2 linked regions of the Lytechinus pictus genome follow. The protein of the gene in region 1 purifies or fractionates together with the protein of each later gene. This does not show direct contact. Links are inferred from orthologs where the notes say so. Each region holds a gene or a part of one and is shown in the gene's direction. Other genes may lie near its edges.

What was found. The genes of interacting proteins can lie anywhere in the genome.
Region 2: the proteins of sorting nexin-4-like (region 1) and sorting nexin-30-like purify together in Homo sapiens (co-immunoprecipitation; 4 studies listed by BioGRID and IntAct, counting the BioPlex papers as one, with this or other methods). This does not show direct contact. The link is inferred for Lytechinus pictus from reciprocal best matches to the Homo sapiens genes SNX4 and SNX30.

What each region holds. Positions count from the first base shown.
Region 1 is NC_087247.1:81,360,506-81,368,456, reverse strand, and holds the start of sorting nexin-4-like, read left to right. Parts: upstream 1-4,930; 5' UTR 4,931-5,145; coding exon 5,146-5,244; intron 5,245-7,951. UniProt on the Homo sapiens protein: Involved in the regulation of endocytosis and in several stages of intracellular trafficking. Plays a role in recycling endocytosed transferrin receptor and prevent its degradation.
Region 2 is NC_087255.1:20,298,263-20,306,042, forward strand, and holds the start of sorting nexin-30-like, read left to right. Parts: upstream 1-4,773; 5' UTR 4,774-4,799; coding exon 4,800-4,928; intron 4,929-7,780. UniProt on the Homo sapiens protein: Involved in the regulation of endocytosis and in several stages of intracellular trafficking. Together with SNX4, involved in autophagosome assembly.

The sequences.
Region 1 (7,951 bases):
CAATAATAGTGATGACCAGAGGATAATATTTTGCTGTGGCGGACAATAATGATGCACCCTATGAACATAAGGATATATCCTCTGCTATGCCGCCCGCGGTGATGATTTGTTTTATGATGATGACGGTGATAATGACAGTGATGAAGGTGCTGAGATTAATTATGATAATAATCCTAGTTTTTATGATTACAGTGATTATGATTATGGTGATTGTGACGGCATGACAGTGGGGGAAGGGGCATGTTTGTCGAGATTTAATTTCATTTGAAAATTAAAGGTAGGTCCTAGACTGAACAGTATCATCGAGTGTTTCTCACCAAGGCGAACTTCTACTTCAAACTAATTACGGAGCTGCAACTCTCTTCAGTTGGTTCGAGATTCGACCCATGAACCTCATATACAGAGAACGAATGATCAATAACCAGGTAACATAATGGTATACGATGTCAATTATGGACGAATTTTTCTCCTTATGTCTATTTATCGTATGGTTGACATCACAATGAGGGAAAATTTGATTGCATGGTGACTTAAAAAATCCTAGGTTTGGGATTTTTAAGAGGAAGGTAACACTTATGCTGGATTTTCCCAACAAATATGATTTTTGAAACTTGTAAGAATGATGGTTGAGTGAACAGGAATTGTAAATTTAGTAAGTGCTCCCCCCCCCCCCCCGGGGTTACCTGTTACAAGCGAGAGGGCGAGATAAGGTAAGACTTGGTTGAAAGGGCATTCATCTTCTTTTTGTCATTTTACAAATAAAAATTCTTATGTATCTCCACCCCCCTCAATTTCCTAGACCCCTCTCACTTCCTGGATGGTAGCCTATTCAAAACTTATTTCCCACTGAAGTGACCGGTGGCTGATAGTCATTTTTTTTCTTTTTATTGAATGATTACCAAGAAATTGACTTGATTATGATAATTTATGAAATACTTTATTGAAAACTGAATGTTTGATTGATTACGTTGCCCATTGAAATAGTTGATTTATTGATTAATTGTTGATTGATAGGAAAAGTTGATGCCCCAATTATCATAATTAAATAAACATTCTGCTCTGGACTTCACGCGTACATGACAATAAAAGTCAGTCACTCAACAGAAGGGGAGGGCGAGAGAGAGAGAGGGGGGCTAAAATGTTCTGTTGACCCTTATTCCATCAACTTACTTCTCCCACTTACGTCCAATCTCACCCCCTATTTTCTTGACTCCAATGAACACTTTGCTGAGAGCCACATGATAATGTTGAAATGCTGCCCAAAATTTTTGTTCCATTGAATAATTTATGAAACTTGCTTAAACATTCATTACTGGTCACGATTGATCAATAATTCATCACAACGCCCTTAACATTGCAAGTTCCAAAGCCAAATTATTTGCCCCTCAAAAACTGAGAAAAAATGGAAGGCCGCTAATTCCAGCCCAGCCTAATTTTCATATACCCTTTGTTTCAGTAGGCAGTGTTCGCTCAAACGTGATAGTATTTCAACTTTTTGGTGTCATGAGAAAGTTGATTTTAATGGCTTCCATAACATGTCTTTCCCCCCCAAAGTGATATATTTTTTATTTGGCAGCCATTTCAAAAGTGTATAGTTTTTTTTTTGGGGGGGACGCACTGTGGTAGAAGAAGGGAATAGTTACAACGCCCGTAAAAGAAACAAAATAATAAAATAACCAGAGAACCAAATAAACGAAAATCCCTACTCCACAACCCGAGCCTCAAAATAGAGGCTCTTTCAAAAGTCAGGCAAATGTAGAACTTGTTCTTGTACAAGTGACTCGACCCTGGGCCTGGCCTGGTACTTCTCCAGTACCCAGGCAGTAGAGTCGAGACGACGGTTGGCCGTGGATCTACCGGTAGTCAACGGGGGTCAGCGCCTGTGCGGTCGGAGGCAGCCGGACATGCGCAAAACAATTCCACTCACAAAATTTACGATTGGAAGCCAGCATTAAGAGAAATGTAACAAAGTCGGGTACAAATACATATTTCTGATACCGGTAGCTATAAAACTGTAATGCATGACTGCATGATTACGACCCTTTATGTGATAATCGCTTCTCTCCAAGTCGGATCTGACTTTTAGATACAGGATAAACTACTCATTTTCGTTTCACGAGTCTTATTATGGTATCGGCTAAGTGAAAATAAAAGATCAATACAGTCGAGCCATGTAATAGAAAAATTACTAGGAATTAATTACGTGCAAGTCTAATATCTGAGTTCAGAAAATTTTGAATACATTTAGAGCCGGGGGGGGGGGGGGTACTTACGAAATAAGGTATACGGGGATGTGCCGCTGAAATGGGTCGCTCTTTTGGAAGAAACACGGGGTATGGTTTTATGCTGGAAAATCCCTAAACATGCATGGCCCCAATTTTAAGATACTTGTTTTTAGATACATGGGTTCATGCCCCCAATTTTTAGATATTGGCCTTAAACATGGGTCCATATTCTCAAATTTGGGGTGATAACCTTTTTTTGGTCAAGTTTTAAGCCCTAATAATTGATACCTTTTAGCAAAAATGACCCGTAATGGGTATGGGTATTGATCCCGCATCAGCCGCACACCCCCGTCCAAACCAAATCTAAGTACCCCCGGACCTGCCCCCGGCGTGGTCGCCTGGGCGCCATGAGTTGCAGACTGGCGAGTTTGAATTCGCTCCTTGCCCGCTTTCCAGACCATAATGCGCATGCTCGTAACTTCGAGAATTTCTCGGAAGTCTCTTCGGGACGGAATGTATGAATGCGGAAATAATAACACGAATTCTTGTAATGTGATCGAGGCGGTCTGATACGGTTATTATCAATTTCCACTTTACAAATAACTATGGAGCGCAAGTTATCCCGACCTACAACTAGCTACACGGCGGGTCATTGCTTGCTTGTTATTGGTGTTGAACGCGACGATGTTAACATGTGCTTTGTAACCTATGCAATTTTGGTAGAGCATGATGAAAAACACCCACAACCCAAATATGGTGGGAATCGGTCTGTAGGGCCCCAAGACATGACCTCATGATTCAAGATTCAATCTTTATTTCGCAAATAGGATAAAAATGTATAATAATAGTAAATTAGTAATGATGATGATGAAAAAGAAAATGATGATAGTGATGATGATAAGAATGATGATGCATATGATAATGAATGATAATATGAAAATAGTAATGATATTGTGATAATAATTATAAATGTATAATAATAAAGGACATCAGTAATTACAATTTCCTTCAGCAAGAAATTCTTCCACATTGTGCTGCACTCAACCCAGGTGAGGTGAATGGGTACCCGACAAGATTAATTCCTTGAATGCATGAGCGCTGAAATGCAGCTCGAGCCAAAGCCGGGGTAATAATAATAACAACGCGCCTCGGAATAGAATATTTATAGATAGATGGCGCTATATAAATGCCTATTATTATAACAACAATAGTAATAGTAATTGATATTTTGCAATATTTCACTTTAACTCATATCCTTTGTGCACCATCTATGAAGTTTGTCTTTTTGGTTTTTGTCTCACCTGCATAGCAGAGTGAGACTATAGGCGCCGCTTTTCCGACGGCGGCGGCGACGGCGGCGGCGGTGGCGGCGTCAACACCAAATCTTAACCTGAGGTTAAGTTTTTGAAATGACAGCATAACTTAGAAAGTATATGGACCTAGTTCATGAAACTTGGCCATAAGGTTAATCAAGTATTACTGAACATCCTGCCTGAGTTTCATGTCACATGACCAAGGTCAAAGGTCATTTAGGGTCAATGAACTTAGACCATGTTGGGGGAATCAACATCAAAATCTTAACCTAAGGTTAAGTTTTTGAAATGTCATCATAACTTAGAAAATATATGGACCTAGTTCATGAAACTTATACATAAGGTTAATCAAGTATCACTGAACATCCTGCATGAGTTTCACGTCACATGACCAAGGTCAAAGGTCATTTAGGGTCAATGAACTTTGGCCAAATTGGGGGTATCTGTTGAATTACCATCATAACTTTGAAAGTTTATGGATCTGATTCATGAAACTTGGACATAATAGTAATCAAGTATTACTGAACATCCTGTGCAAGTTTCAGGTCACATGATCAAGGTCAAAGGTCATTTAGGGTCAATGAACTTTGGCCAAATTGGGGTATTTGTTGAATTACAGCCATAAATTTGAAAGTGTGTTGGTCTAGTTCATAAAACTTGGACATAAGAGTAATCAGGTATCACTGAACATCCTGTGCGAGTTTCAGGTCACATGATCAAGGTCAAAGGTCATGTAAGGTCAAAGAACTTTGGCCACGTTGCTGGTACATGTATTTGTTGAATTGCCATCATATCTCTTTAAGTGTATTGGTCTAGTTCATAAAACGTGGAAATAAGAGTAACCAAGTATCACTGAACATCTTGTGCGAGTCATAGTATTTTTCAAAATCAGCACTGCTGCTATATTGAATTGCGTGATGCAGGTGAGACGGCCAGAGGCATTCCACTTGTTCCTCTTTCCTTCAATTTCTGTAACCTTCATTTACCCATCCTTCCATTCTTTTGAGCAAAGTATGGTCATATCAATAATCTTTGCTCTATTTCTGTAGATAATCTTGAATGAGCAAGGAAGATTAATGAATAAATTTAATGCTATGGTTGCCTTTTACCAAGCATATTCTCTGAGAAATTGGGAGATAGAAAGAGAGGGAGAAAGAGGTAGAAGAGAGAGAGAAAGAAGTGGTCAAGAGGTGGCGAGTGCAGATGAGGAAAAGAAACTGTGATTTTAAGGGCAAGGAGATTGAGAATGGGAGAGATAACGGTAAGCTAAAAACATGTAATGATATACAGTATGTGTCTATGTGTGTACATGCATGTATGTGTGTTTATTAGAGTACCCCCTTGATGAGAGAGAGAGAGGTGAGTAGATGAGGAACAGTTGGGGGAAAAGGAGATGAAACCAGCAAATTATGGGTGTGAGTCACACTTGATATTATGCATACAGTGCTCTCTCTACATCAGCCATCCTCCACCCTCATTCTCCAATCCTAATAAATCACACATAAGCCAGAATTAATTTAGAGGAACACTATTAAGACAAGCTTCCTGAACTCTATTTAGCTGTATTATCTTATTTTGGAGCTTATTGTTGTCACTTTGCTGGACATATGGTGGACATTCAGAAAGGTTATAGTAGGATCGGACGCTTGTCTGGTGGGCGTACTCCGAAGATGCTTCGAGAAATCAAGGCACCAAAATTGGTGATGGTGAGTGTATTGGGCTACTGCTAGAGCAGATCACATTGAGATACACTGGAAGTATGTGCATACTGTACAAATACACTGTACCTGTTTGACTTGTATACTCTTGATACAGTGCATTATTGATTGTCCATGTTTCTTAGTTCAACAGATGATAATGTTTTCTACCCCCGTCACACTTATTCGGAATCAGCAGGAATCGAGCAGAACCAGCTGGAATGAAGAACTTTCAAAATTCGTGCCACATTCGGGAGGGAATTTGAAATTTTCACTACTTTTGCAAAAATGTCGTTCAAATACTTAGAACGTCCTTTGATCCCGCCTTGAATGATTCTTGCACATTCCGGGTGTATTGACTGTCAAATGCAGCTCGAATACAGTCGGAACACAGGAAGAATATTAAGAATGCTGTTAGAATGTCGTAAGAATATGTAGAATGCAGTCAGAGAGCACGGCACTTCGAATGTCATTCAATATTTCTCCACTTCGAATGCACTTCGACAGTTTTGAACATGAGCAAAACATTCGGGCCGGTCACAAGAATGGACCCGAATGTCTGGAATGCACTCAGAATGCAGTCAGAATTTTTAGAATGCGCTTCGAATATCCAGGAATGTACCAAGAATTTTCATTCCGACGGCATTCCGGCTCATTCCGCCTCTAGTGTGACGGGGGTTTTAATGAAGTAGGCTTGCATGTACATGTATACCAACAACATGAAACAACAGGTGGCTCGTTTCTGTTTTTTAAAGTCACAATCTTGCAGTCCACAGAAATCCTTTAATGACTCATAAGCCGCTAATTAGTATGAAGGGGTAATTAGGTGATCTGTCAATCGACAGATCAACTCTTAATTTCGTACGAATTTTCTTTTTTATTTATTTATTATTAGGTGATCTGTCAATCGAATTTTCTTTTTTATTTATTTATTATTTTTCTTTATTTGCCGCCCTTTTCTTGTTAGCACAAAATCTCCAAATCTACATGATCAATTATCTTCAGAATATCATCAGATATGGGGACGTATCATGTGATGTGTATAAAACAAGTTCAAGGTCAAAAGGTCATCATGACGTCATCTAGACGCCATTTTGTAAAATCACGTTATCAATCATATCTTCATTATCAATTTTAAAAAATTAACAATATTTACATCACATTAACTTCAGGTCAAGGGTCAACTGTCCATGTCATTAAAGGTCATGTAAAGGTCACGATGCGTGCGAATGCGCGCGTCAAAATTTTAAAATGCTCAAAATCACATTTTGACCAAAGTAGAGTACGAATCAGGTCATTTTAAGCATTTCAAAAATTTGTGCGCGCGCACGGTTACACGCGCGTTCTCGCGCGTAACGGCACTATAGAGCATAGGGTCGCCATTTTCTTTATATCAATGCATTGATAATATAATTCTGAATAATTTGATACCTTGATCAACCTTTTACGACAAGTAATAACGGAATAAGCCTCCATCAAAGTTTACAGCACGCACGCGTGCGCGCACTAACCATAGACAATATATGTGCAAAAACATGCCTATACAAAATTCATTATAGCTCTTTAGATAGTCCGTTGACCCCCAATTTTTTTTTTCATATTCCAATAGTGTATAAATGGGAGATATGATTTCATGTCACATTTGACCCTTAATTTTATCATGACGTCATCAAAGTGGCGTCGAAACTCAAAATTCCCACTTTGCTACCTATGACGTCATCATAGTTATGCAAATTTGACACTAACTCCTCAAATATTGGCCAATTTTCGCTCAGTTTTCAATATGTTGTAGCTGAGGACATACTCTTTTTAATTTGATGGCTATATTTTCTTTTAAAGGAATGGATCATCCTGAAAAATGGCAAGTTATAGAGGCATGTCATTTTCGCTCATTTTGTGTGCAATCTCTATGGAAAATGACTTTTTCTCAAAACTTGATTTTACATTCTTCTATTTCGCGAGCCATATCTTCATTTCTTTTTGTCGGTTTTCTCTGAGCTTGAAGTATGTTGTAGGTGAGATTGTAAGCTATCGCAACTGTGGTCTTCATTTTCTGATCAGATGCCGAGATCATGCCCGTATTTCACTTGCAAAATTGGATTTGAGATCCTCTCAATTTGCATATGTGTAAAGTCTATGGGAAATAGTGCTTATGTGTAAAGTCTATGGGAAATAGTGTAGCTCAGTTGATAAGGCATCAGACTTGCGTTCTTAGGGTCAAGGGTTGGAACCCAGGGGTGAACATGAGATTTTTTTTTCTTTTTCTTTTCAACATTTCACAAATGGTCCTTCATGACCATTACAAGGTATATAAGTTAAAACATTGCACAATAAAATAGTTTAAAAAAATCCTTTTAATATAATATGCACATGTACCATGTGTATCATTTACACCTATTTTCCAAAGTTTCTCATTTTTCTCTTTTCAAGAGTATTCATCATGTTCTTTTTCTTATAAAAGTTTAGTTTTCAATATGATCATCGTATTGATGTCAATAAACATGGTAATTGTATTCGCGATCATGTTTTCAAATTACTACTTTTGTGGGCTGGTATCATCTTCAATTTCCTCACTCCCTCATCTTAAGAAAATCAACCAGATACAAGTATGTACATGTATAAAGTACATTTCTTTTGTGATAGGATTTAAATAAAATATTACTTTTTCATCTACTTAAGATTTTGTGGATTTTGATAAGATACATGTTGTCTGATA
Region 2 (7,780 bases), on another chromosome or scaffold:
TGAATGTCAAGGCGACCGCACACATTACGATTGGTCTGCGACTCGATTTCAGAATAAAACGTAGTAGAATTTGATGCTAATATTGAGACTTGGAATATCTTACTGAGTAATGTTCGAAATCATCGTACGAAAACCTATGTTCAAATCAGTGATTATGATATCTTCCTTCTTAGAATAAAAGCAAATTTAATATCTAGTCGTCATAGCAGTCGTACGATTTGAAACTAATTTGGCCTTTACTCCAAAATAAAGGCTTGCTATCTTTCAAAATGGTTATATTAGTATTCTGTCAATTAATTTTAACCTCAAATAAAATGATATGTTCCCTTCACATTCTCAGAAAATGAGCAAACTGCGATTTGTTCCAAAATCGGATCGCGAACAGTGTGCGGTGGCCTTAAAGCTTGATATAGGAAGGGTCCCTACAGGTGGGGGCGTTATAGAGCCATTTGAAGGTTATAGATGAAGATCCCCTACTGCGTATAGGGTCTGCATGGGGCAAAACCCCGGTAGCTTATCTGCATAGAATTTAGCAAGCTTATAGCACAATGTTGTATGCTGTCCATCTTTATTCCCGCTCTTTATTTTCAATCCTCGGCAGCCCGGTCGTGTTATTATTATTTTTTGTCCCTTTTCTTTGTTTTCCAATTTAGCTTTTTACTAATTCCATTCTACTTTCGTTTCCCGCTATTTTTGCCACTTTGTCATCTTTTAATTTATTTCTCATCATGCTATTGCATTATATAGGCCTATTTCAGAATGATTTGTTCTTTCTCAAATGTTCTCTTTCGTTCCTTTTCCCGCTTTCCTTCCTTTTCCCGCTTTCCTTCCTTTTCCATCAAAAAAATTCTTCGTTTTCTTTTCACTTTTCCCTAATTTCCCTTTCGTTTTCCCCCTATCCTTCCCCTTTTCTTTTCTTTCTCCCTCCCTTTTCTCCTTTTCCTTTTTTTTTATTTTCCCGGTGAAATCCGCAGGGGGGGGGGGGGCAGCTTGCCCACCTGCCCCCCCCCCCGCCTGTTACGTACTGAATTTAGGGCTCGAACCTCTGCATCATTTTGTAAATTCCCCATTTGGCTTGGATTACAGGCGCACAGCCACAGCGCCCAGGTTGTGGAAAGGTTTTGGAAGTAGGGGGATGGGGGTGGCTGACCATGCCAACAAAAAATCACAACCAGATGGTCATTTTACGTTTCTGTAAACAAGGTGTGGGATCTAAAGCCCCCCCCCCCCCCCCCCCCCCCTCCTGATCCGCTGCCCCTGATGCACCATATTTGGTCTCCTCAAATTGTTATATCGCTATGCCACTGCTGAAGGATATGCAAAGAATAACACAAAAATTATACAGAGACGTCAAAATGATGGTCGGGATAGGTGATGTAGGGAGTCGTGGAAATATCTGGTGAATTATTCGTTGGTCTATTACTACCAAATATTTCAAATCCTGAACATTATCGACGTTGATTATAGAAGTTGCTGCAGGGACTTGTCCATTTTTTATGCAACATTTTTATAGCTCTTAATTCAAATGTTTCTAAGTGCTGCATACTATTACCCCGGCTTTATCACTGCTATCCTAATCGGAAGGAGCTTATAATGAATTTCTTCCTACAGGGTACCCATTTTCTACACCTGGGTTGAGAGTGGCAAATGTAGATAAACGCCTTGTCAAAGGACGCGAGTGCTGCGGTGGGATTTGAACCCCGGACCTTGTGGTTCAAAGTCCGGGGACTTATCCACTGATGGAAAAACCATCCACTAAAGTTTTTACCCCACCATAGACTATCCAACGTGACGATCGAGGGCAAATAAGCTACAATTAAGCTTCACGTCTCTACATCCAAGTAAATCAAATTAAGTAAAGATATAATACAATTAATGAATTCTTATAATGGAAGGAAAATCATTGTGAAGAGGAAGATCCAGGATTTGAAAATTTAGGAATCGGGAATTAAATTATTTTTATTTGTTTCCGCGTGGGAAACTGCACATTTTAAAATAACAACCTTTCATTCCAAAAACAATAAAGGGGGATTAACACATTGTAAGCATTAATTGCTTTTACTGGACCCCTCATTCCATTATGCTTTATTTTTATTGAATTTCTTGAACATGGCATTCATTAAATATTTTATGATTTATTTTGTATTATATATTTGAATTTAAATAATTAAAAGAATCGAATTCAATTTCAATAGATACGTAACTGAAGGGAGAAATCTGACATTGCAATTAATGAGTAGATTTCAATCAATGACTGATCAAAATTGCCGACTTCTACATTAGCTATTTTGCAAGCTAGGGTCCCCCGCCTTTTAAGGTCTGTTCCAGGGGTTCAAATTGAATATATTGTTTTAGAGTATTGTCATTTTGGGTTACTAGCGCGTCGATTATAAATGGGAATATGTTCCGTGCACACTCCTGGCTTTAGTCCAAAGATATGGATACAGATAATGCATCTCAGTTACAATTTCAGTTATGTAAAAATGGGATTTGAATAAAGCAAAAGTTGAATGATTGATCGCAAAATAAACAATACGAAACGTGTACACAAAACAAGACAATACAAACGCAGGAAATCAAATAATTGATCTAAGAATTTTTTTTTCCGGATGACCAAAATATGAAAAAGTCGACCTCGAGATGCTGTAACACAGATTTTGCACTTATCACAAATTCCATCTGTCTGGCTTGAATATTCGTGCAGTCAAGCGATTAAGCCGTGTATTATGTGTTGTAATTGAGCTTATTGTATCCCCTTCTGACTTGTAGTATTATCGCAAGAGTTGGAACCTTTTAGGGAGTCGATTTGATTTAAGGGTGGGGGCTGCATGGGGGGATCTTCCAAGATTCGACAGTAGTTGCATTAAAATCACTTGCGACCTTTTGTTTCTGTCATTTTTTTCACGGGTTATTCAGATGTTACAGCAGCATAAATGTATAATTCATCGTAATTATTGCAATTTTAAAGGATGTATTTTCTTCCGTTTAACCTCTCCCACATGTTTTCTTTATAGTTATAGGTTATCGACCTTAATTCCTGAATGAAAAAAAGAGAAAATGTGGAACTTTTTTGGGCTACTGCTGCATGAGAAAGATTGATGACATCAATCGTGATGTAGGGACCACACCACCAATGTTAAACAGCAATAAAAATAAGTAAATGAATGGATGAATGAATAAATAAATTAAAAAAAAAACGAGTGAATAAATATATATATATATATATATATATATATATATAAATTATATATATATACAGTATATATATATGTATATATATATATATGTGTATATGTGTGTATATAAATAAATGAATGGATAAATAATGAATGAATGAATAAAAATGAACGATAATAAGGGCATACAAAAATAAAAAATGAATAAATCTTTAAAAGACCCAGTTGTTTTGTTTTTCTTCAATTGATGTGACGTCATGATGAGATCGACCAATCAGATTCAAAGGAGGAAGTTGCAGGGAAGCTGTGAGGTGGAAAAGGAGAAATATATCAAGAGAGAAATCACAGTAGCCATGGTTTATTCCCCCTTTTTTTCATATGGAAAACTAGCGGACAGAAGGTCCTCGCTGCACGCGCGCACCCTTATAACACGCAGAATTCCCTTGCATTATACCCTTTTTTCACAAACAAATGTGTATCAAGGACAAGCGTTGATTCAGATAGAATTTCCGCCCCCCTGAAATGAATGGTAACAACTTCTTCTATCAGATGACCATAATTTTCTTTACATTCAATTGGTGGGAAATATGGCACTTTATTACATTAAAATCACTAAAAACCATCCATAGTCAGAATATGTATTGGGATAATGGGTTTGGGGGACATTTTTATAGTACCCGGGTGGATTATATCCCTCGTCACATCGGTGGGTGGTGGTATCATGAATTTCCGCCCAGATTACAATAAAGGGCACATTGTAAGGCAAATACTCATGAAAGAACCATGGAGATTGGTTAATAAGGAAATAGGGCACTTTTATCATCAAATCAGAGGAGATTTTCTTTGTGATAGTGATGTCCGAAGAGCAAACCTACACTCGTGACGGGTCCATTATGTATACGAGGGGTGCATCCTAGCTTACCACTGCATAGCTAAGTCTGAAAATTAAGTTTTGCTTATTTCTTTCATTTTATAATGATGTTTAAATGTTCAAACAACGATAATTCATGAAAATTGACTCAAAATATTGCGAATCAACGCTGAAACATTATCTGTGTATACATTTTATCCCTCTGTAATGCTATTTCACCCATAAAGCCGCAATGGAACATTCCGCACCACTAGTCATACGATGATCGCGAGGTCTGCAAACGTCGTCTGCTATGTTTTTACATGTCCGGTACACTGCATACAAGTTTTCGATATGTGGGGGGGGGGGGCAAACTGAATAATCGTAGGCTAAGAAAACGGGCAATTAAAGTGACGTGTAATCTAAAAAAAAATTGGCATTAATCCATGGATCCTACTAGTTCTAGTAGGACCCATGATCAAACTGCCGACGAAGACATCACACGCCCAGAAAGCAGAATACACACGCGTTCTTACGGCTGGTATTTCTAGCAGACTACACTTTGTTTACGTGCGCAAGCTTGGCAAATATGATCGGAATATTTGATTAATTGTTATTTAAATTGAGATAAAAAATCAAATATTTTACTTAAATTTAATATATGCAGTATTTTCTTTAATTTTATTGTTTTGAACTATTTTTGTATACAAATAATGAATACATTCTTAACGTAAATGTCTATATCTGCAAATTGGCTACAATATATCTCCAACATGGCAGAAATCACAGAAACACCCACCAATGTTATTGGTGAAGAGAATCACGAAAATGGAACGAAAGATGGCAAAGATATTCACCCGCTAGCAGCTGCAATGGATGATGAAGAAGAGGATATTATATCGGTATCGTATATTTTGATAAAACTATTTTTATGCTTTTTATTCCTCTTTTTTTTCTTGAGTAGCTTAGTGACGTGACTGTGAATGTGAATGATTGTGTCTGACTAGACTCTGAGTTGTGAGTGTGACAGATGCAGAGCTGTGTGGACCACTGTCTGTAGTGTGGAACTTCTGTGTGTCTGCTAGGCCTACAATTAAATCAGTCACAATCTTCTTCTTCCTCCGCTTATAGTATACTGGAGATCAACAGCAAGGTGCTGCGTAAAGAATGTCCATCAGCACTTAATGATTACAGAGAGGAAAGAGATGTAATCAGTAATAATCACGATAATAATGCGATCATATGCGACAATGGCATATCATATGGCAAAACTTCAAGTCTTAGAATAGCTGGCAGCCGTCTGTTTCGAGGAGGAGTTTTTTAACATTTTTATTTTTTTTAATTTCTCCTCGTACACAGACGTCTCGCTATCGTGCAGCCACCATTAGGGGTTAACAATGCAAAATCCCCCCGACGGGGCTCATCGATTTTTGTCTCTATTTCATAAAAATATATAAAAAGAACTGTACAAAAATAAAGATTATTATTCCGTTTTGGCCTGAATTGCACCAGAACGGGGAAAAATAAACCTAAAAGGGGGAAAAAAACAGTGACTTACTTCGGCTGTCGCGCAACTTCACTTCCCTGTTTTATCCGAACTTTATACATAAACATATGGCCATTGAGTCCCCTGTACAGATCGAGCTAGAACTTCGGTCTCTGTATTTGGTGAGTGGAGCCAACGGAGTTCAGTGGAACAACCAACATAACAGAGACCGAAGCTTTTGGTCTAGGCAAAACTTAGCCTTGAGGACTCCATTATGTTTTTTTATTAATATTTTGACATTTTTTTCTTCATCATGGAGCCTTGAACCGCATGCCATATATGCATAAGCGAGACCTCCACACCCAGATGGATTTCCCTAGGAAATCCATATTTACAGGGTGAAATCGGTTTACAAGTGGGAATTTTATTGATATTTGAACCTTCAAACGCCTAATCCGTATGAAGGTTAAAAAAATTGGTTAATAAAAAGGTGACAATTTTAAGGTTTCTTACCAGACCGATCTCGTGTAGATCCCTCATCCGTTTGTCAACAAAGCAAATACAATAGGTCTGACCCTTGAACCACTTCATTATGACGTACATTCGATTAGCGATGTTACAAAATGCTGTTTTGAAGAACAATTTATAGATACAAATTATTATTTAACAAATACTAAAATTTAATACGTGATTATAAATAATTATTTTATTAAAAATAATTATTAATGCGTATGAAGGTTCAAATATCAATAAAATTCCCACTTGTAAACCGATTTCACCCTGTAAATATGGATTTCCTAGGGAAAGCCATCCGGATGTGGAGGTCTCGCTTATGCATATATGGCAGGCGGTTCAAGGCTCCATGATGAAGAAGTATATGTCAAAATATTAAAAAAACATCATCATGGAGTCCTCAAGGCTAGGCAAAACTAGTAGTAGTAAGGGGCAACTCCAGTGCAATGTCTGCAATGTGCATCGACCTAGCCTTGAGGACTCCATGATGATGTTTTTTAAAATATTTTGACATAGACGCAGAAGCGAGACCTAGACACCCGGATGGATTTCCCTAGGAAATCCATAGTTAGAGGGTGAAATCGGTTTACAAGTGGGAATTTTATTGATATTTGAACCTTCAAATGCATAATGCGTATTAAGGTTCCAAAAATTGGAATAAAGAGGTGAAAATTTTAAGGTTTCTTACCAGACTGATCTCGTGTAGATCCCTCGATCCGTTTGTCACCAAAGCAAATACAATAGGTCTGACCCTTGAACCACTTCATTATGACGTACATTCGATTAGCGATGTTACAAAATGCTGTTTTGAAGAACAATTTATAGATACAAATTATTATTTAACAAATACTAAAATTTAATACGTGATTATAAATAATTATTTTATTAAAAATAATTATTAATGCGTATGAAGGTTCAAATATCAATAAAATTCCCACTTGTAAACCGATTTCACCCTGTAAATATGGATTTCCTAGGGAAAGCCATCCGGATGTGGAGGTCTCGCTTATGCATATATGGCAGGCGGTTCAAGGCTCCATGATGAAGAAGTATATGTCAAAATATTAAAAAAACATCATCATGGAGTCCTCAAGGCTAGGCAAAACTAGTAGTAGTAAGGGGCAACTCCAGTGCAATGTCTGCAATGTGCATCGACCTAGCCTTGAGGACTCCATGATGATGTTTTTTTTAATATTTTGACATAGACGCAGAAGCGAGACCTAGACACCCGGATGGATTTCCCTAGGAAATCCATAGTTAGAGGGTGAAATCGGTTTACAAGTGGGAATTTTATTGATATTTGAACCTTCAAACGCATAATGCGTATTAAGGTTCCAAAAATTGGAATAAAGAGGTGAAAATTTTAAGGTTTCTTACCAGACTGATCTCGTGTAGATCCCTCGATCCGTTTGTCAACAAAGCAAATACAATAGGTCTGACCCTTGAACCGCTTCGTTATGACGTACATTCGATTAGCGATGTTACAGAATGCCGTTTTGAAGAACAATTTATACAAAAAATAACAAATACTAAAATCTAATACGTGACTATAAATAATTATTATAATTTTTGATAATTTTCTGCACAAATGAGACGAAAACTAGGTAAGACTGATAAATATTTTCGGAGATATGATGCTTTGAATATTAGGTGGTCGATAAGGGGTAGTTCCAACCATACATGTATGTAAATGAGGAAACTTATGACGTCATCCACTCACTATTTCTTTTGTACTTTATTATGTGAAATATGAAA